4 linked regions of the Mus musculus genome follow. The protein of the gene in region 1 purifies or fractionates together with the protein of each later gene. This does not show direct contact. Links are inferred from orthologs where the notes say so. Each region holds a gene or a part of one and is shown in the gene's direction. Other genes may lie near its edges. The genes, in order: Anapc2, Anapc11, Anapc4 and Anapc7.

The links.
Region 2: the proteins of Anapc2 (region 1) and Anapc11 purify together in Homo sapiens (affinity purification with western blotting; 7 studies listed by BioGRID and IntAct, with this or other methods). This does not show direct contact. The link is inferred for Mus musculus from reciprocal best matches to the Homo sapiens genes ANAPC2 and ANAPC11.
Region 3: the proteins of Anapc2 (region 1) and Anapc4 purify together in Homo sapiens (affinity purification with western blotting; 12 studies listed by BioGRID and IntAct, with this or other methods). This does not show direct contact. The link is inferred for Mus musculus from reciprocal best matches to the Homo sapiens genes ANAPC2 and ANAPC4.
Region 4: the proteins of Anapc2 (region 1) and Anapc7 fractionate together in Homo sapiens (co-fractionation; 6 studies listed by BioGRID and IntAct, with this or other methods). This does not show direct contact. The link is inferred for Mus musculus from reciprocal best matches to the Homo sapiens genes ANAPC2 and ANAPC7.

The regions. Positions count from the first base shown.
Region 1 is NC_000068.7:25,281,170-25,286,969, forward strand, and holds the end of Anapc2 (anaphase-promoting complex subunit 2), read left to right. Parts: intron 1-3,392; coding exon 3,393-3,522; intron 3,523-3,767; coding exon 3,768-4,003; intron 4,004-4,081; coding exon 4,082-4,294; 3' UTR 4,295-4,747; downstream 4,748-5,800. UniProt on the Homo sapiens protein: Together with the RING-H2 protein ANAPC11, constitutes the catalytic component of the anaphase promoting complex/cyclosome (APC/C), a cell cycle-regulated E3 ubiquitin ligase that controls progression through mitosis and the G1 phase of the cell cycle.
Region 2 is NC_000077.6:120,604,219-120,609,567, forward strand, and holds the end of Anapc11 (anaphase-promoting complex subunit 11), read left to right. Parts: intron 1-1,062; coding exon 1,063-1,208; 3' UTR 1,209-3,980; downstream 3,981-5,349. Other genes in the region: Npb (neuropeptide B isoform 1 precursor), read left to right, coding at 4,291-4,521, 4,597-4,725. UniProt on the Homo sapiens protein: Together with the cullin protein ANAPC2, constitutes the catalytic component of the anaphase promoting complex/cyclosome (APC/C), a cell cycle-regulated E3 ubiquitin ligase that controls progression through mitosis and the G1 phase of the cell cycle.
Region 3 is NC_000071.6:52,843,523-52,848,871, forward strand, and holds part of Anapc4 (anaphase-promoting complex subunit 4), read left to right. Parts: coding exon 1-69; intron 70-1,801; coding exon 1,802-1,885; intron 1,886-3,109; coding exon 3,110-3,196; intron 3,197-4,468; coding exon 4,469-4,533; intron 4,534-5,071; coding exon 5,072-5,114; intron 5,115-5,232; coding exon 5,233-5,309; intron 5,310-5,349. UniProt on the Homo sapiens protein: Component of the anaphase promoting complex/cyclosome (APC/C), a cell cycle-regulated E3 ubiquitin ligase that controls progression through mitosis and the G1 phase of the cell cycle.
Region 4 is NC_000071.6:122,431,255-122,436,603, forward strand, and holds part of Anapc7 (anaphase-promoting complex subunit 7), read left to right. Parts: intron 1-1,486; coding exon 1,487-1,598; intron 1,599-2,129; coding exon 2,130-2,283; intron 2,284-4,264; coding exon 4,265-4,407; intron 4,408-5,349. UniProt on the Homo sapiens protein: Component of the anaphase promoting complex/cyclosome (APC/C), a cell cycle-regulated E3 ubiquitin ligase that controls progression through mitosis and the G1 phase of the cell cycle.

The DNA.
Region 1 (5,800 bases):
TTGACACCAGGTGAAAGTCTGATTACTGGTCACCAGTATGTTCTATTTTGGTCCATGCCATGGCAGTGTGTCTACTGAGTACCACAGCCTGGTTGAGGACATCTGAGTGGCCAGTACTGTGTACTGAGTATCCTCTCCTGCTGTTGCTTTGACCTATTTTAGTATGAGGTACTCGTTGGCTTTGCTAAGTTTTTGCCCTGGGTCCCAGACATGGCTTAGTCACATCTTAGACAGAGTTTCTCTGTATAGCCCTGGCTGTCCTGGAGCTCACTCTGTAGACCAGGCTGGCCTCAAACTCAGAAATCTGCTTGCCTCTGCCTCCCAAGTGCTGGGATTAAAGATGTGTGCCACCACTGCCCAGAGGCTTAGTCACATCTTTCTTTCCTTTTCTTTTCTTTTCTTTTCTTTTCTTTTCTTTTCTTTTCTTTTCTTTTCTTTTCTTTTCTTTTCTTTTCCCTCTTCTTTTCTTTTCTTTTCTTTTCTTTTCTTTTCTTTTCTTTTTCCTTTCCTTTCCTTTCCTTTTCTTTTCTTTTCTTTTTTGAGACAGGGTTTCTTTGTGTAGCCCTGGCTGTCCTGGAACTCACTTTGTAGACCAGGCTGTCCTCGAACTCAGAAATCCACCTGCCTCTGCCTCCCAAGTGCTAAGATTAAAGGCGTGCCGCGGCTTAGTCACATCTTGTTGATCACATCCAAATAGTTAGGATGGCCATATGCTAGTGTCATTTATCTTAATTTTTGCTGATACTGGAATGGCTCTGGCAAACCCCTGTGCTAAGAGGTCAGGCCTGTGGCAACAATTCCACTATCTTTCATCAGCCAAGCTCCTAAAGGATCTGGCTGGGTCTGTGGGTGACCGACTGTGCAGCCTGTATATTGTAACCCTTTTGCAGGTCATGGCTTTAGAACCAGTGTTAGGGAAGCTAAACTGGCTGAAACTGGGGGAAGCCACTGGTACTGCCTCCTTTTCTATCTGTAAAGTGAGTTTACTGGTACACTTCTCCCTTAAGAGCTACAGGGGTCCTGGAGGGTCTCAGACCATCAGGTGGCCACTAGAGCAAAGGAATCAGTGTCCCGGGTGCCACCTCAATGAGACACTGCAAAGTACAGGGTTACCAGATTAGAAATGTATTACTGCATTGTATTGCCCCAGAATGCTCTAAGGGAAACGATCCTTCCTGCCTCTTGCAGTAGCCCTGGCAGATCTAAGTAAATGGCCTTTTTCTTTATTTTGTTTTTGTTTTTTTGAGACAGGGTTTCTCTGTGTAGCCCTGGCTGTCTTGGAACTCACTCTATAGACCAGGCTGACCTCCAACTCAGAAATCCGCCTGCCTCTGCCTCCTGAGTGCTGGGATTAAAGGCGTGCGCCACCACTGCCCAGGTGGTAAATGCATATCTTTATGTCCAAGTTTTCTCTATGTCTGTTTCCCTCTTCTTGGGATACTAGTTATATCAGATTAAGGACCCTGGAGATAGGACTTACAGTGTCACTAGAGTCAGTGTCCTGGGCTTTACTTACTATCTCTTTGAAGAGATACAGTTTGGCCCATGGCAGCCTGTGGTTCTAAAACTAATAGTCTTTACATGAGAAAATTAGCCAATATCTCCAAAATTAACCACTTCAGCATCAGTTCTTAAAAATCTCTTCTAATCTAGATGGGTGGTGCCTATCTATGATCCTAGCACTCAGGAGACTAAAGCAGAAGGGTGGTGGTTCATTATATAGCCTAGCTATATAGTGAGGACCCCCCCCAAAAAAAAAAAAACCGTATCCATCTGAAGTAGGTTTCGTCTCCACCTTGATGCTGTGAGGTTGTTTTGATCCAAAGCACATTGTTAAAACAAGCCCAGTTCAGAAGAGGGTGTTCCCAAAGGCAGCAAGAAGGATCATGAGCCTAAAGCAAATCTGAACCACGGAAAGCAGAGTTGACAGTGTGGCTCAGGCCTTGGTGGTGCCCTTGGCTTTCCTGGCAGCCCTGTGTGCACTCTCCTGTACCTCTGTCACTGCATTCAGACTGTCAGCATTGCTGCTGACATAACACCCAAAATCTTGGTGCTTTCCATGAAGTGTACAATATCCAATTTATCAAGTGACTGTGATCCTGAGCCAAGTGTGCTGGTGATGCCTGTCACCCCAGCCTTGGAGGCAGGCACAGCAGCAGCACTGCTAGTTTGAGGCTAGCGTGTTGTATATAACAAGTTTCAAGGCAATTCAGCTATAGAGGAAGGCTCTGTCTTTTATTTAAAAAATGAAGAAAAGAAAGTGAGGGAAGGGGTATGTTCCTGGATATGCTACGTGTTCCGGGTGGATCTACAAATCACACTCATGTCAGCAAACATCTAGCTACAGGCTGGTAGTTCTCTGCCAGCTCCCCCAGTGTCTAGTGTTTGCTCATCGTTTCTATCTGAGCTCTCAGCAGCAGGTCCTCTCAGTGCCCTCATCTCTACCAGCATTATTCTCTATAGTATGGGCAATAGCTCTTATCCTTCCTTGAGCCTTCACCAGCATCATCTGCATCTTCCATGTCGTGCCAGTTAACTGTAGCAACCTAAGGTTTAACCTTCATGTGCTTCCCCATTGTACAAACAACTTCTATATTTTAGGTGTTTTTAGAGCAGTATCCCTACATAGAACCAGAATCATCCTTTTTTTTTTTTTTTTTTTTTCTGTTTTAGACAGGGCTTCTCTGTGTAGCCCTGGCTATTCTGGAACTCACTCTGTAGACCAGGCTGGCCTCGAACTCACAGAGCTCCACCTGCCTCTGCCTCCCAAGTGCTGGGATTAAAGGCATGTGCCATCTATACAGCAGAAGCTTCACTTATTATGACCTTTTTAACAGGGCTACACAGAGAAACCCTGTCTTACAGACAGACAGACAGACAGACAGACAGAAGACAAAGTCACAGGCTGAGTGGTTTTAAACAACAGAAAAATGTTTTAGTTCTGGGAAATAGAAGTCCAGTGTTGGGGTGTTGGCAGGACTGGGCTCCTCCTGTTGCCTCTAAAAAACTACTCTTTTGCTTTCCCAGCTTTTGATATGTCAGCATACTTTATGCCTCTCATAACCACTCCCTTCTGTGCCTTAAGGGCTACCCTACTCCAGGATGACCTCTTCTTAACTAATTACATCTACATTAACTCTCTTTGCAAATAACTCATGTTCCAAGGTACTGAGACATGAGAGGGACACAATTTATCAGCAGTTATATCATGGTTGTTCAGGAGCCAGGGACTCCAATCAGGTCTCCTGGTCTTGCTGTTGACTACCTACCTGCCAGGAATGGCATTGGTGCAAGAGCCATTCCATGCTTGGTAGCATGGCATATGAGCCTATGCCTTGTTCATCTGGACCTGCCTGGAACCCACTGGACTGTTATTGATGATTCCTGCCCAGGCTATGCGGACACTTAGTTGGAAGCACACCCTGGGCCTGGTGACAATGGATGTGGAGCTTGCTGACCGCACCCTGTCTGTTGCGGTGACCCCAGTACAGGCAGTGGTCTTGCTGTATTTCCAGAACCAAGGTGAGTCCCTAGAACCATATCTGCTCTGCTTTGACTACACTACCTTGGGGCTATTGCTATAATCTGATGGGCTATAAGGTAACATGCCAGATTCCCCAGCCCCCAGCAGAGTGTAGGGGTAGCAACCATTCTTTTTACCTATGAGTTACACAGGACAATCCACGTGCGTCTGGGGGTCCAGCTAGCTAACAGGTATTGGAGCAGGTATAATCTTCGGTACCTGCATCCTATGGCTCTGCACACAGCCAGCTGGACCCTGGAGGAACTGAGCAAGGTGGTGAAGATGCCTGTGGCACTGCTTCGAAGACGCATGTCAGTGTGGCTGCAACAGGGTGTGCTGCGGGAGGAACCTCCAGGCACTTTCTCTGTCATTGAGGAAGAGCGGCCTCAGGATAGGGACAACATGGTGCTGATTGACAGTGATGATGAGAGTGACTCAGGCATGGCCTCCCAGGCTGACCAGAAGGAAGAGGAGCTACTGGTACGTTGGCCATTTCCACATTGGGCTGGGGTGGGCCAAATAAGTGGACAACTAACCATGCCTGGCTTCTGTTCCTAGCTCTTCTGGGCATACATCCAGGCCATGTTAACCAACCTAGAGAGCCTCTCTCTGGAGCGTATCTACAGCATGCTCCGGATGTTTGTAATGACTGGCCCTGCGCTGGCTGAGATTGACCTGCAGGAGCTGCAGGGCTACTTGCAGAAGAAGGTCCGAGACCAGCAGCTCATCTATTCTGCAGGTGTCTACCGCCTGCCTAAGAATTCCAACTGATGTTCCCTTTCCAGGCTCTGACTACAGCATTCATGCCTGTGCAACCCCTAGATGGACAGCTTCTATTTCCATGTTCCTGTGCCCAGTCCCTGCCCGTTCCCTGCCTAACACCCACAGAACAAATTAAAGCATATTGGCTCATCCTTTCATGTATTTTGTTGGATCCCATGAATACAAACAGGTTTGCCCTCTATAGCCACCCAACCATAACCCTACAGGGCCTGGATTCCCAGCAGCAGGTAACTGAGCCACCCAAGAAGCCAGGCTTACCCCAGCCTAAGCTTGTATGTTTGGGCAATAGATTACCCTAAAGCTATCTCCTGTAGCCTGTCTTAGAATATGCTGGGACCTGTTTCAGCAAGAGTGAATAGGGTTGGCAGCTCAGAGTCTCCCGAGTTAGACTTTGGCCCCATCCTGCTTTTGTGGCCATTAAAAGGAACTCTTGGTCCTTCACTTGTGTGTGGCATCTGTGGAATCAATGTAAGGCTTTGTGCTGTTAGTACATTTGCACTCGATGAGATCCTCAGGTGAGGCAACCTGAGTCAAGTGCACACCTGTGTCTAGCAGTCAAGGTCAGCCTAAGGACATATGCTGGGGGCCAGGGGCGTATTAGTCCTTTGTCCTCTTTTCTCTACTGGCCACACTTCTTGGAGCTTACAAGTATGTACTCAGACTCTTTCAGGTCCCCCAGAGATGCTGTCAGAAGTACAGGAAGAGGGTGGGGACAAGAAGAGAACCCAGGACACAGTTTAATAATCCTTTTCCTCCAAGATAGGGCTCAGCCACCCTTGTAGGCAGGCTGTGCCCAGACACCTGTTGAGGACAGGTTGGCCTTAAGACAACAGAACCTGGTGGGACACAGCATGGGCCCCTGTGTCCCTGTCCCAGAACAGCTGTTTTCAGTCAGGAAATACTGACCTGAGGTGCCATCCTCAAAGGAAACAAAAGCCCTTTGGAATCATTGCTTACACACCCAGATCCTGCCCAAGGTGGATCCCAGGCCACAAGCCACACCTAGCTTGGGCTGCTGCCACTACCCCTAGTCCCTTCCCAGTCCCCTCAAGCCCAGTCTGTGCTGCAGAACCACCACCTCTCATTATCAGCTACTAGCTCTGGTGTGGGTTCTGAGCGGTAGTCCCCCTCAGAGGTCTCACTCCACCCTTCCTGTTCTACAGAGATCATCTTGCCTCAGATTTTAAAGGGTGGAGGCAGGAATTAGGCACACAACCTTGGTCATAGCCTAAGGCTTCCCAGAAATCTAGGAAGCCTTGGTCACAGTACTTCAGAAATGAGGTTTGCTCTCCTCGAGCTGCCAGTCCTGAGTCTCTGCTTCCTACCCCCACTTAAGTGCCATTGCTACAAGAACTGCTCCTCCCTGTTGTGGTAGCAGCAGGGGCCCTGATGATCCCCCCACCAAGTGTTCCTATCTGGTTCATACCACCAGGCCACAGACGGGTGTGTCTTTGTCCTAACCAGGATATAAACTTGCTAGGCTGGCTTGGCAGG
Region 2 (5,349 bases), on another chromosome or scaffold:
AGCTAGGGACTGAACCCTGTTAGCTCTACAGCCCCCTATTAGTTTTGATTATGATAATCTATATAATCTATCTCCCCTTGGACTTGGACTTGCAGAGTGTCTGCAGCCTGTGCCCCCTGGCTTGGGGTGGAAGTAGGAGTTGTGGTTGCTTGCTTTTTTTTTTTATTTTTTTTATTTTGAGATAGTGTTTCTCTGTGTAGCCCTGGCTGTCCTGAAACTCCCACTTTAGACCAGGCTGGCCTTGAACTCAGTGTGTGTGTGCCTGTGCATATGTTTATGTATGTGTGTCTGCATGTATGTGTATGTGTCTGTGTGTCTATGTGCCTATCTGTTTGTCAGCCAGAGGTCAGCTTCAGAGGTTCTGTCCAGCTTCTTTTCTCCCCCCACTTTCCATTTCTCCCTCTTGCTCCGGCCCCCACTTGCTCCAGGTCCCACTTGCTCTGGCCCCCCCATGTTCACTCCGGCCCATAGGTTCTTTATTTTGTTTCTCATTATGGATGGTTGTGAGCCACCATGTGGTTGCTGGGATTTTAACTCAAGACTTCCGAAAGAGCAGTCAGTGCTCTTTGGAGTTGAGGTTTCAGATGAAGAAGGTAACAGGTGCTGATAAGTCCTCTATTAGTAACTGTCCCATAAACACCAGTGTCCCCAAGATCCATAGTGCAGTAGATCTCTGATGTCCAGGGAAGAGACTTTCCAGGTTTCAGGATGCCTGTAATGAAGACAAAGAGTTCTCCACTCAGGCTGTGAGTCGTTGGTATTACGGGTCAGTTTTTCACAGAAAGGTGTGAGAAAGGGACCAGAACCTAGTGGGCCAGGCCTCTCCCCTCTGAGGACACTTCACTTGCTATAGAGGGAGTCACTGCAGATCTGTAATGCCGTGGGCCATGTCTGGGGATGATTTGGGTCACAGCCCTACTTTTTGTCTCCTCTGAGAATGAGAGGCTCTCTGCCAGTGATTAGAGCTGTTGACTAATGTCCCAGAGGTGCCTGCCTGGCTTGTCACATGCTCTGTGTGTTTTATCTGGTTCTTTACCTAAGGCCAGTCTCTCCTTCTTGCAGGTAAGGTGCCTGGTGATGACTGCCCCCTCGTGTGGGGACAGTGCTCCCACTGCTTCCACATGCACTGCATCCTCAAGTGGCTGAATGCGCAGCAGGTGCAGCAGCACTGCCCCATGTGTCGCCAGGAGTGGAAGTTCAAAGAGTGAAGCCCGTGCCGTGCCACTTCCCTCTCCTGTGCTGTGCCAGGCTCAGCCCCTTCCCTCCCTCCCCTCCCCCAGATACAGCACCCCAAGTCCCCTCCACACAGCACAGTGGTGCCCAGAGATCTCGGTCTGTGCCGGGGACAAGGATGCTTTCTGTTTGGCTGGGACAAGGTTGAAAGGAGCTTTGCTGACTGTTTTGTTTTCCCATCACATTGACACTTTATTCAATAAGTAAAACTCATTACAGTTCCGAGCCGTGCTGGAGGCCTCTGCTTGCCTGGTTTCTTGACATACTGATGCTGCTAGCAGCATGTTTTGCTATGAAAACTCCAATAAACAGCTTGATGAAATAATGGCCAAAACCTTCATCGTAATCTGAGTCACAGCTCAGACAGGAGGAGGAGGAGAGATTCAGGCAGAGCCAAGCTGGGCAAAGACCTTAGGGTGTGTTTGTGTCAAGGAGACAGGCAGGGTGCACGTAGCCCATCAGCTGCCCTAGTCTACTGGGAGTCCCGAGATCTCGTCCCATCCCCAGCCCTAGCTGAGCAAAGCTGGCAGCTGCTCTTCCAGAGCTATTTGGTTGGAGGAAGAAATAGCTAAGCAGGCAGTGGTCATTCATGTCCAGATAATCTTCGGGGACAACTGCAGCAAGCTTTTCAGTCTCTTGTGTCTTCCTTGGATGAAGGCAGATATAGTGTAGGAGGATGTGGGTCCTCTGGTGTCTTAGGGAAGGAAGGCCATTTGGAAACTATTATTATTCCCTAGAGCTAGGGATTACCAGTTATCAGGAAAACAGTAGCCCAGCCCTGATGTGTTAAGCTCCTGGGTAGAAACCAATTTAGGCTGGCATCTAGGAGTTCTGGCCAACTTACCACCTTGTCCTCACTCTCTGACTCTTCCCAGTAACACCTCTGCACTCCCTGTGTGCTCCACAGCCGGGGAAGTAGACTACTAGGGGCTGGTTCCAAGCAATCTGGATCATCTACATGTTTGTTGGCTCTGAGACTTGTTGCCCACTGTGTGTGGTATCACTGAAGTCCTCCTATTTGAAGCAGACTTGTGCTTCTGGGAGACTAGAATTTCATACCACTTGGCTATCTCTAGCATGCTAATCCTGGAACTGGCACAGCTATCAGGAGTGAAGAGGGCCATTTCAGGGGTAAGGACCCCCAAGAGCTGCAGAGGGGAGCCAGGATTGGTGGATTTGGAAGTCCTTGAGCTGACAGGTATGGTGTACCCTGGCTTGTTCAGCTTGTGCCTTCCATCTCCAGTCTGCTCATTTTCTTGGAGGGTCCTCCATGCCTCTTCTAGGAACATTCTCTGGGACTTCATTCCGGGCCATCCTCTCTGAAACAACTTCCTGTGCAGTTGGCAGTGCTCCTGAGTGCTTCTGTTCCCGGGCTAACCTCAGAATCCTTCATGGCCTTCACTTACCACTGAGGTTCTTCCTGGTGTGTTGTCTCACGGTGTCAGCAGCCTTTCCTCAGGGTCAACTCCACCCATGTAGCATGTCCGCTCTCTAGAGATGAGAAAGCCATAACTAACCTTGGGCTGCTTGCAAATGGGACCCCTGGCTCCTCCCCTTCCTACTCCATTGTTCTTCCACCAGCTTTCTCCAGAAAAGTCAGGACAGCAATGTACCGAGCACTGCAGCTTGTGCTCAGCCTAAGCCCCTTTTCCATGTGGGAGCAGGAGGCCTTGGAGGAGGAAGCCTACACCACTGACCTCAGGAAGCTCTCTCTGCTCTAATCCACCTGTGCCTGCCCTGGGTGGCCAGACACAGTCCTATTCATGTTCTGGCTCCTGCACATACCACAAGTCTCTTACATGTTACCCTCCTGTGTCCAGTATTCGAGTCACTGTTTGCTAAGTACAGGTGGGGACGGTTCCTAGGCCATACCCACTGGTGTAGCGTGGGCAGGGCAGTTACTTGCCCCTAGGGTCCAGAGTTGCTTGCCCAGGCTTTTCTGAAGGTTGGAGCCTGAGCGCAACACTTCTCCTCAGAAAGGGCAAGCCCAGCATCAGAGTCTTCCACCGTGAGCACCACACCAAAACAACTCCAACCTTGTTGCATTGGCAAGATGAGTTATTTTCTCCAAGTTCGAGGCCAATATAGGTTATAGAGTGAGACCCTGTTGGTGAGCCTAGACAGGACCAAAGAATAAGCAAGGCCCCTGTGGTGGCTGATGTTATGTTAACTTGATGTGAACTAGAGTCCTCTGAGAGGCGTGATCCTCAGTTGGGAAAATGCCTCCGTAAGATCAGGCTGAGGGCAGGCCTGTAGGACATTTTCTTTCTTCCTCTTTATAATGTCTTTACATTTTATGTGTGTGGATGTTTTGCCTGCAAGCGTTTCTGTGCATACATGCATTCTCCCAGTGCCTATAGAGGCCAGAAGAAGGCATCTGACCCCTGGAACTAGAGTTCCAGACAGATGTGAACTGCCCTGTGAGCCACCTGCGCATGGTACTGGGAATCCAACCTGTGTCCTCTGGAACAGCAGTTAGTGCTTTTAACTGTTGAGCCATCTCTCCAGCTTGGAAAAATCAATTAGCGAATGATGAGGGAGGGCCCAGCAGATTTTGAGTGGTGCTATCCCTGGGCTGGTGATCCTGGTTCGGTAAAAAAGCAGGCTGAGGAAGCCCTGAGAGTAAGCAGCACCCCTCCATGGCCCCTGCATCAGCTTCCACCTCGGTCCCATTGGAGTTCCTGCCTTGGCTTTCTACAGCGGACTGTGACTCAGGATATGTAAACCAAATAAACCCTTTCCTCCCCAAGTCACTTTTGATCATGGTGTTTCATCACAGTAATAGTGCCCTAAGACAGTTCCACATTCCACCCTTGGAAGTTGATACATCTGGTCAGTAAAAGGACAGTTCCACTTGAGGGAGGAACGGGCCCTCTGCCCCATCTCGCAGGGTGTGAGATCCCACTGATTTACCACTTGCAGTCTGTGCGCCACTCCTTTCTGTCGCCCGCTCCTCCTCATCCCCCTCCCTGCCTCTGTCCCCCGCCCCCATTGTAAATATAAAGCCTGGTTCACAGACTTCAGTCGCTACATTCTGCCTGCCCCTGTCACAGCTCCATGGCCCGGTGTAGGACGCTGGTGGCCGCTGCCCTGGCGCTGCTCCTGCCGCCAGCCCTCGCGTGGTACAAGCCCGCGGCGGGACCCCACCACTACTCGGTGGGCCGCGCCTCGGGGCTACTGTCGAGTTTCCACAGGTTCCCGTCCACGCGACGCTCCGAGTCTCCAGCACTCCGGGTGGGAACCGGACCTCTGCGCAATTTAGAGATGCGCCCCAGCGTAAGGAGCCTTGTGAGTGCAAGCAGGCGATGGGTGGCGGGAGCTGGTGGGACAGGGGCGGGCCCTCAGCCTCCACCGCCTACCCAGGCCCTGTGTGTCAAAGATGTGACCCCGAACCTGCAGAGCTGCCAGCGGCAACTCAACAGCCGAGGGACTTTCCAGTGTAAAGCGGACGTCTTCTTGTCGCTGCACGAGACTGATTGCCAGAGCACCTGAGCCCTGAACCCCAACCCTGCGGCCGGTGACTCTCCCCAACCCCCATATGCCCAGTCTTGCTTGAAGTAGCACAGACCCTGTGTGGGTTTGGCCCCTAGCTCCCACCATGCTCCATAGCAAATGGCTAAATTAATAAAGAAGCAAAACTGTCTCTGCTAAGGGTTGCTGGAGGAGATGGCGCAGAGACCCTGACAAGTGGGTGCCTGGCTGAGCGGGTCCCTGGGGTGATGATTGCTCCACTTCCCTTCTGTGCCCTGGCTGGCTCTTTTCCTCTTCCACAAAGCCAGAAAGGGGATAGAGCCTCCACCCTGACTCCAGAGTCTGAACAGGTGGTCCCCCTACTTAAGCAGTAGGCACTGGGCATAGATAGTTCTTGCATGCCATTTAAAACCACCCCCAGAGCATCCTCAGACCCTGCTCCTGCTGCTCAGTCTTTCAGAGCCACAATGTCAGCTCAAGGTTCTTTTAGAAAGCCCTGCTCGGAGTCCTGCCTCACCCCTGGCGAAGCCCCTCCCAAAGGCCCTGAAGGACATAGCTACTGTGTGCGCGACAGATCACTGGGGTGTGCAGACTCTGTGCAAGGGCGGGACTTCACGGGAGCCCTTAGATCCACCCACTGCGCTG
Region 3 (5,349 bases), on another chromosome or scaffold:
GATTTGAAGTCATTATCAGTGGTCACAGAGGTTTCCAGCGGTGGCGAATCAGAAGTTTCATATTTTCAGGTGAGTGTTGTAGCTATTCCAGTGTCAGGGACATGATTTTCCCTTGGTGATAGGAATTGAGCTCAGGGCAGAGCATGCTCTCTGCTATTGAGCTGTACCCCGCTCAATTATGTAATTATGGGTTTTAACTACTCATATCACTGAAGTGTAATAAGTAAAACATGAAGGTCTCCTTGGGATGTCTAAATCTTGTATATTGAGTGTTATTATAGTGAATGTTATTTCTTGATATACTATCATTTAGTTTTCATAGTTAAGACTGTTTGAAAGTCTGTTATTGCCTTACTAATTGGTTATTTGACCAGCTTAGCTTTGTACTGAAGTTTGTTTCATTTTTTTCTTTAGTCTTTGTCTCTCTTAGTAATGAAAGCTTATATTTTATTGGTTACATAATGTGACAGGTGCTTCAAACACAGCAATATAATGGATAGGTAGTACTTATCTAATTTGTAGATAAGATTTTGGGCACAAGAGGAACTGTAGAGCTCACTTAGAGTCACCACAGAATTGGAAAGTCATGCTAGGCTTTCTGGTTCTGGTTTGTGTTCTCAGCACATTGCCACAAGGATTAAATGATCACTCAGAATAAGGAAAAATCTTTTTTAAACTGGCTTGTGTTATAGACTAGGATACTGCCTGGGCTTTTTTTTGTTTTGTTTTGTTTTGTTTTTTTGTTTTTCGAGACAGGGTTTCTCTATGAAGCCCTGACTGTCCTGGAACTCACTCTGTAGACCAGGCTGGCCTCAAACTCAGAAATCCGCCTGCCTCCGCCTCCCGAGTGCTGGGATTAAAGGCGTGCGCCACCACACCTGGCTTTGGGCTTTTATATTTATATTATAGCTTTGCTTTGTTAGGAAATCTTTCCAAGTGTTTCTTCTGAGCTATCCCAGTGTTTTAAGTATGTCTGAACTCTCAGAAGGAGGACCAAAAGAATGTGTGGTGTGGTATTTGCACAGTCTGTTCAGAACATCAAAGAGCTGGGGACTATGGCTGCTTGCATTGGCTCTTTTTTGTGAGGCTGAGAAACTGTTGATTAACAAGTTTGCGCCTGAGCTCTAGTAAAGTGATTTTCCTTTTTCTGTGAGGTTTGTGATAGATTTGTTTTTTTGTTGTAGTTTTGAATTCGATCTCATGAAATATGTAGGCTTGCCTCCAACTCATTGCGCATAGCTGAAGATGACCTTGCATTATGCCTCCTCCTCCTCCTCCTCCTCCTCCTGCCTGCACCACCACCTCCTTCTCCTCTCCTCCTCCTCCTCTCCTCCTCTTCCTCCTCCTGATGCCTGCACCTCATCCTCCTACCTGGACCTTCCAAATGCTGTGATTACAGATCTGTACCAAGGCCAAACAATGCCGGTCTCATTGAAATATGACTCATACTAACTGACAGTCACATATTAATCCATAACCTTTAGTCCTTTTTACTTGCACTAAGTTTTTAACATTAATCTGTGGTCGTTTTTAAATGTTGTCATAATGGTGCTATAAGTTACTGCATATGTAGCTACAAGGAAGGGAGGGATGACTCAGAGTTGTGCCCCAGTTGGAAATCCTGAGGTGGTCACCTACTGGTTTCCACACTCAAGGGACAGGGCTCTAAGATTTTCTGGCATGTTATTTAGATAAAGACTCTTTAAGCTAAGGGATTGTTTTTAATCTGGATGTGAATAATTTGTCTTCAAAAGAAGTAAATGCTCCTGTGAGTCATTTTATTTATTGTTTTATTTTGTAGCTTGAAACCAATCTGCTGTATTCCTTCTTACCTGAAGTAACTCGTATGGCCAGGAAGTTTACTCACATTTCAGCTCTCTTACAGGTACGCATCCATATGACCTGCTCTATGTTAACTCTTTACTGGAAGATTTATAAAGAAAAACTATTGAAAGTTCATGTTGTAAAGCTACCTGCAGTAGGAGTGCTATAAACTACTCTTCTTATAATACTTAATAAAGTGAAAGCAAAAATTTAATTGAGAATCTCCTGTCCAGCCCTGTTAACTGCCTCCAAAAAAAAGGGAAAAAAATCCTGTTTATCTCCTAAACTATTTATAATGAGAATGTAACTTAAACTTTTTTTATAGAAAAGTTATTGTGCAAAAAGTATCTTCATGGGCTAGAAGGATGGCTCAGCGTTTAAGAGGACTGATTGCTCTTCCAGAGGTCCTGAGTTCAATTCCCAGCAACCACATGGTGGCTCACAACCATTTATATTGGAATCCGATGTACTCTTGTACTGTGTCTGAAGATAGTGACCATGCACTCACATGAAATGAATAAGTAAATCTATAAAGAGAAAAAGAATCTTTATAAATTTAGCTTTTTTCATAATAAATCCATCCTAAGTTAGTTCATGGTTCTGTACTCGAGCAGTTTGGCTAGGGTGATCCAGAAGGTTCTATCCATCTGTGCCTGGAGTAGTTCACCTTAAAGAAACTTGTTATGCAAACAGGTACATGTTCCAAGGCTGGAAGGGCTATGTCTCTGCTCCAGCTCCCGCATCCTCTGGCCAGCCTGCCTACCTGTGAGCATTCACATGGTGATGGCTGCAGGATTCTCAAAGACTTGGAGGCTTTGAGCTCAGTTTTACTCTCTCTGCTGTGTTGTTCTGTTAGAACAAGGCAGGGACCAGGCTAGACTGTTTTCCCTGATGGAGCATCTACAAAGAAGTACTAATCTTTTGTTTGTTTTACCTCAGTCTTTATTTTGCTTATTGTTAAAGATTTCTAGAGGTTTGTTTTTTCTTAGGGATCCTGTGTGACAGTTAAGTACCTAAACAAAGCAGCATCATGACAGGATGTGTAAAATACAAAAAAGCACTTGTTTTCCCAAATACAAACTTGGGAATGTGTCATTGTAAATTTGTAAAAATCACTGGATAATTTAGTTTCTTAATTAAGTGATTACCAAAGCTTAGTCATGTATTTATTTTTTCCTATAGCTTTATTGAGTTAGAAGAGTAGTTGGAAGTAAATTCTGCCAAAGAAGAATGCAATAGCATGTTGTTTTGATATTTTTTACTGTACTTTTCTTTTTGTTAATAGTATATAAATTTGTCACTGACATGTATGTGTGAAGCATGGGAAGAAATTCTGATGCAGATGGACTCCCGTCTTACCAAGTTTGTACAGGTAATGTACTCCTAACTGACCTTCCCTGTGCAGATACTGAGCTCATTCTGTCTGCCACTTTGTGAGATATATGAGGGTCAGAACTGGGCAGAGCGGCTCACTTTGTAATCCCAACACTGGAAGAGACAAGACAGAAAGTTTGCCACAAATTCAAGGTTGATGTGGGCTATAGGATGAGACCCTGTCTCAAAGAGAAGGTGGCAGGCCAGAGAGCTGCCTGAGTAATTCATTTACTGCCCTTGTGGAGGGCCCACGATTGAGTTGGTTGGTTCACATCCAACTGCAATTACAGCTTTAGAGGGATCTGATGTCCTTAGCCTTTGTGGATACCTTTTATACCTATATTTGTGTGTGTGCATGCACAGACACACACACACACTCACTCTATAAAATACAGTCTTAAAAGAAAAAATTAGGGGCTGGAGAGATGGCTCAGTGGTTAAGAGTACCGACTGCTCTTCTGAAGGTCCTGAGTTCAAATCCCAGAACCACATGGTGTCTCACAACCATCCGTAATGAGACCTGACGCCCTCTTCTGGTGCATCTGAAGACAGCTACAGTATACTTATGTATAATAATATATAAATCTTTTTAAAAAAAAGAAAAAAATTAGTTTGGTTTGCAAAATGCTAAGATCTTTATTTTAGATGGTTCAGTACAACCTTAGTTTTTAGGGGCAGGGTGTGAAAAGAATATATTAGTCAGTTTTCTGTTTCAATAACAGTACTGTGGCTTGTAATATATCAAAAAGGAATTTTTTTTTAGCTCTTAGTTTTAGATTCTGACAGTTGAGGGTTATGTAGCATCATTTGTTTTCCATCTGTTGAGGAGGGTTCATCAGGTGTCATCATGGCAAGAGCATGTTTAATAGGGGTCACACTGACACAGGAAGCCAGGCGGTGTGGGTGGATAATCTTGTTTCTAACAACCACTCTTGGAAGAACTAACCAGTGTTCCCAGAGTGTCAACTTCATTTCTTCTCACTGACTCGCCACCTTCCATCCTCAGCTACTACTTAAAGAGCCTACCATGTCAGTGTCATCACCTTAAGGGCAAGCCTTCAGCAGAGAGACCCTGGGGACAAGCCACATCCAAACTGTGGCAGACTCTTTGTTTCCCCTTTGGTACAGCTGGGTGGAGCTGTACTAAAATTATGTCCCTATAACTTTGAATAAATATGCTTATGTTTATTATAATATAAATATACTAAATATATAAATAAATATAAGTATATTTATGAATATAAATATGTAATTTTTAAATTTTATCTAGGAAAAACCTACAACCACGTCAGTGCAGGATGAGTTCATGCACTTGCTGCTGTGGGGGAAAGCCAGGTGAGCGCACGTGGACGATCCCACCCTGACTCTTTCCCTTCTTCTCTTGACAGTAATTACTCAAAGGTAGTTATTGCCTTTATAAAGATAAAATACAAAATTCCGGTAGAAGACCTCGCCCCCAGAAATGTATGTCAGTTTTGGGGATTTTCTATGAACTTTTTATATACATGCGATCATTTGGTATGTATATATAAGTATGAATGTGCGTATGTATATTGGATGTATAAAATTCCAGAACTTTTATGTAGCCAAGACAATCTTTTTCTTCTGGCACCTTGGGTAAATAACTCTCCAGGGTACTAGTCAGTGATCCCTTCTTGATGTTTAGAAGTGTATAATTGGTTTATTTCTGGACTTTACTGTGACATTTCTGTCTCTTTGTGGATAAACACAGTCCAGTCCTCATTTGACCGGTGCTGTTTCTTCATGATTATTTTGTTCCAAAATCCTGTTTGTACTTTGAAATTTAGGTTTTAAATGGCACATTCAGAGTTTGAATGGAAAGATTACTAAAATACTTTCTTTTTTGTTGCAGTGCTGAACTTCAGACTCTCCTGATGAACCAGTTAACAGTGAAGGTGCTGTTAAAGTCTATATGTTTAAGTGGCTGTGAACACATTTTTAATAGTGGTCTTTTTTGGGAATGACATATAGTATCATAGTTACATGCTAAATGTATTTTCTTCTTTTAATTAGGGCTTAAAAAAGCTTGGCCAGTCTATAGAGTCATCATATTCCAGTATACAAAAACTGGTTATAAGTCACTTACAGAGGTATGGAAGTGATGTAGAATTTTTTGATACTGCATTCATA
Region 4 (5,349 bases), on another chromosome or scaffold:
AGCACCCAGGAGACGGAAGCAGGCTTCTTGATCTGCCAACAATAAAAAGTTATTTAAATTTTACTGAAATGCGGATGTCTTATCTCACTGGATTTAAATAGTGTAGTTTCTATTTGAGTCATTGTTACATTTGGAGGTCATTTTGAGTTTGATTTTTGTCTCAGTTTGGTGAGTCGACAGCTCTGGTGAGTCAGAGTTGAAGTATTAGATGGGCCAAATTCCAGCTACTGGTTTGTCGGAAGCCAGGTATTTTAATTTCAACTGATTCTTAAATGGCTATGCCCCGCAGTGTAAGTTGGGCGTTGTGGCTCACACACACTGTCGTATGGCTCATTCCCAGCACTTAGGAAGCTGAGTCTGAGGATTGCTGTAAGTTTGAGGCTACCCTTGATCTACATAGTAAGTTCCAGGCCAGGCCGAGCTAAGAACCAGCCAGATAATGTAATGCTACATGCCTGTATCCTGCACTTGGGATGTAGAGGTGATTCACGAAGGTCAGCAATTCAAGGTCGTCATCCTCAGGTATGCAGTGCGTTTGAGGCCAGCTTGAGCTGCACGAGAGCTTGTCTCATAAAACCAAAAACAAAAGAGGAGCTTGAGAGATGGCTCAGGAGTTAAAAGTTTTTTCTTCTTCTGGGGCCAGAGTTTGAAACCCAACACCCACATCAGCAGCTCGCACCCACCTGTAACTCCAGCTCCAGGGACTCCTCCGCCTCTGCTAGCCTCCACATGCGCGCGCAGACACACACATTTATGCACATAAACTAAACTAAAAGATTTTCTTCACTTTGTTATGCAATAGTATTGACCTCTGCTTGGGCTGGAGAGATGGCTCAGCAGTTAGGAACATACACAAGTCTTTCAGAAGATCTGAGTTCAGTTTCCAGCATTTAGGTCAGGTAGTAAGCGGTAAATCTTGGCTAGAGGTAGTGGTGCACACCTTTAATCCTGACACTTAAAGGCAGGGCAGGTGGATCTCGAGGCCAGCCTGGTGTACAGAGCAAGTTCCACAACAGCTGAGGCTACACAGAGAAGACCCTGTCTGGAAAAAAAAAAAAACCTTTGGTGACACATGCCTTTAATCCCAGCTCTTAGGAGGCAGAAGCAGTTGGATCTTTATGAGTTCCAGGCTAGCCTGGTCTACACACTAACACCCCCACCCCGTCTCAAAAACAAATCAAAGAAATCCTTAAAATATATCTGCTTGAATCAAGGTATCTAAAATTATGGAACATTTCTCAATGTCCCAGAGGCAGCATCTTTGGGTCAGATATTAGGAGGTGTTTTGCGAGGATCACATGGCTAAGAAAAACAAGGATAATAGTACTTTGTTTTAAGGAGCCGGTCTTTATTTGCACAGGGCTGTGGGTTGGTTTTTCTGCTAGAAAGTAGAATAGTAGTCGGGCATCAAATGAGCGCGCGCTCACGGCGCAGTGTTTGCTGTGCGGATACTCTTGCTTTACCGTTCTCTGTTTCGTGTGTGTAGATAAACATGATGCTGGCAAACCTGTACAAGAAGGCTGGTCAGGAGCGCCCATCAGTCACAAGCTATAAGGAGGTCCTGCGGCAGTGCCCTTTGGCCCTTGACGCCATTCTAGGTACAGAAAGTTTTCTCCCTGGTGCCTGGGGTGTTTGCAGTCTTAGATGATGGTTCTCAGTCACAACTATGGTTAGATAGAGCAGGGTTTTTTTTTCAGATTTTAATTTTATGTTAATGTGAATGAGGGTTTTGTCTGTATGTCTGTATGTATGTAGTGTCTAATGCCATAATGGTTGGAGGGGGGCATTGGAGCCCCAAGAGCTGGAGTTAGGGGATGGTGGTAGACATGAGTACTGGGAATTAAACTTGGATCCTCTGCAAGACCAGCAAGTGCTCTTCACCACTGAGCCGACTTCATGGCGCATAGAGTAAGTTTACACCATTCTGAGCACTGTCGGTTATGAACTAGAGGAGTCGCTGTCTTGGACAGGGTACAGTTGAGTGGCTGCAATGCTTGAGCATGCCTGAGGCGCTGACCTTTGAGTTGTGTGTATCTTGCTTAGAGGAGGGAGGGCAGCTGTGTAGCTGCTGGGGTTGCACCGTGGGAAGAGGGTGCTGTGCCTCACGTTTCTCTTGCTCTTGGGGCCAGGTTTGTTATCCCTGTCTGTGAAAGGCGCAGAGGTGGCATCAATGACGATGAATGTGATCCAGACTGTGCCCAACTTGGACTGGCTGTCCGTGTGGATTAAAGCGTATGCTTTTGTGCACACCGGTGACAACTCGAGAGCAATCAACACCATCTGGTGAGAGCCAAGGTGTCAACTCAGTGGTTATTTTGGTGGGAGGCACAGTCTGAGATAAGTCACATCTTACTACATACCCAGGTTGCCCTTGAAATTGCCTCAGTCTTCCAGCCTAGGTGTCCCTAGTGCTAGGACTATAGGCACGAGCCACCAAGCCTGGCTGACTCCAGGGATCTTAGCCCTTTCCTCATCTAGAGATGTGATATAGCTGGTGACACAGAAGAGCTAGGTGTGATATAGCTGGTGACACAAAAGCTAGGTGCTGCTTACTGCTTGACATTGCAGCATTTGTCTTTGGGTTAGGTTTTTTTTCTAATGCACTAAGTGATTGCATATGTAATAAACTGTTGGAACCTGTGAAAATGAACAGCCGGACTGAGTTCTGTACTGTTCATATGAAGATGGCCTTCCTTAAAGAGCAGACTGCTGGGGGCTGGAGAGATGGCTCAGCCGGTAAGAGCACTGACTGCTCTTCCAAAGGTCCTGAGTTCAATTCCCAGCAACCACATGATGGCTCACAACCATCTGTAATGAGATTTGACACCCTTTTCTGGAGTGTTTGAAGACAGCTACAGTGTACTTACATGTAATAAATAAGTCTTTAAAAAAAAAAAGAGCAAACTGCTGAGGGTGTCATGTTCATGCCTTTTCGACTTGGTAGACATGTTTACTGTATACCTGACATAGGCTAGATCTCTTTGCAGTTAGGGATTTCTTTTTATTTATTTAAACAAAGTTCTAGGACCAAAGGCTGCATGCATGTGTGCATCTATCTATCTATCATCTAACTATCATTTATCTATCAACTAACTACTACCCACCTACCTATCTGTCATCTGTCATGTACCTCCTTGCCTACCTATTTGTCACAAGTAGCTATCACTAGTGAATGCTGTATTAAAAGTCATTTTTGTTTAAAAAATTATAACCGTGCTGTTGTGGTAGTGAGCACTTTTAACCTCAGTGCTCAAGAGACTGAGGCAGGCCTGCCAGGGCTCTTTAGTGAAACCCTGTCTCCAAAAAAGAAAATTATAACCACAGAGGTTTTTATAGATATTAAGTGATATATTTGAGATATGTGCATATAAAGTATCATTATATGACTTTTAAGTATTTTATTTCCTTTCATGTATATAGATGGTTGTCTGTCTGCATGTAGTTTGCATGGCATGTGCATGCATAGTGAACAGAGGCCAGGAGAGGGCGTCAGCTTCTCTGAGCTGAAGTCACGGTCACCCGTAAGCTGCTCTGCTAGTGCTAGGAAATGGATCTGGCCCCTTTGCAGGGACATACGATGCTCTCACTGCTGAGCCTTCTTCCAGACCCCTGTGTGACTTTAAAGCTGAGGTTAAGGTCCATTGTACCTCAGTCCTTTAAAAAGTTTTAGGCCAGGCATGCCTTTAATCCCAGCACTCGGGAGGCAGAGGCAGGCGGATTTCTGAGTTCGAGGCCAGCCTGGTCTACAGAGTGAGTTCCAGGACAGCCAGGGCTGCACAGAGAAACCCTGTCTCAGGGGAAAAAAAAGTTTTAAAAATTAGATTTGTGTTTATTTGTTGTATGTGGGCACACGTGCTTGTGTGGAGGTCAGAGGACAACTTGGAGGTGTCGGTTCTCTTCCACCACAGAGGTTCCAGGGTCAAACTCAGATCATCAGGCCTGGTGGCAAGTGCTGCTCTTAACCTGCTGAGGCAGCTCACTGCCTTACTGACGTTTCCTTCCTTTAATTATTACTATTATAGTTAGGAGTTGTAGTGCCTGTGTGTACTGTCAGGACTTGGAGGAGGAGGTAGGAGGATCGTGAGTTCAAGGCTAACCTGGGGAATTTAGTGCGACCCTACTTCAAAAATCACCCCCCCCCCCAAGCCTTTTTATCAAAAATTTCACCCATATAGAAAAGTATGTCATCTGTAAGCCCACCCCCAGATGGAATGATTAAAAACAGATTGTAACAGAGTCTAAGGGTTAGTATTTATCTTTTAAGTTCACTAGAGAAAAAATCATTACTGCGAGACAACGTGGACCTGCTGGGGAGCCTGGCCGACCTGTACTTCAGAGCAGGGGACAGCAAGAACTCTGTCCTCAAGTTTGAGCAGGCCCAGATGCTGGATCCCTACTTGATAAGAGGTGAGTCCGACTGAGTGTGTTACTGTTTTTAGGCTTTGTGTGTGTGTGTGTGTGTGTGTGTGTGTGTGTGTGTGTGTGTTTGTACGCATACAGGTGAGGACAGGTGCTCTTGGAAGTCAGAGGCGTTATGTTTGTTTCCCAGGGGTCAGAATTATGACCCTTCTGATGTGGGGATCTACAAAGAACAGTGCATGCTCTTGGCTGCTGAGCCCCCCCCCCCCCCCCCCCCGCGCTTTTTTTTTTTGAAGACATAGTCCATGTAGCGCAGGTTAGCCTTGAACTTGGCTTTGATTTCTTGATTCTGTTTTCACCTCCCAAGTGCCTGGCTCACAGGTATGTACTACCATGCTCATCTCTGCTCCTGGTTTCCAAGCCGCTTTTGTAAGGCTTCCTGTAGTGGTTCTTTCTCCTATCCTGGCATGGCTTTTTAACACTTAGGTAATTCTGTTCTGAGTGGCTGTTTTCTCTTCACAGACCATTGCTTAGCCTTCTTGTAAGGGCCTTTGTGGCATCTCCACCTCCCTGCGAGTTAATACATGTGTGATGTGGCTGACTTATGGCATCTGAGAACCCTAATGTCCTTCTAGGAGCTTTGGTTTTACTGTGTCCTTGTATGATGTTGAGGAAGCAGGGGAGTGGCTATAGAGGGAGGGAAGGTGCCTACCGTGTCATCAGGGCGGAGTGAAGGCACAAGGCACAGGGGCTTGAGAAGCCGGTGGGGCCAGTGAGTGAAATTTGTAAAGACTCAACAGAGGTCACCAGAAAAATGCGCCTCGGGATAATAAACAGGCTTTAGATTCTAAAGAGTAAGTTACCAATAATTCTAACAGGCTGAAGCAGGCTTGTGAGAGCGAGGTTAGCTACACAGGGAAACCCTGACTCAAACAAACAAGAAGGGTGACTGAGTGTGGGAATAGATCTAGAGTGTTTGTTTGTACAAGT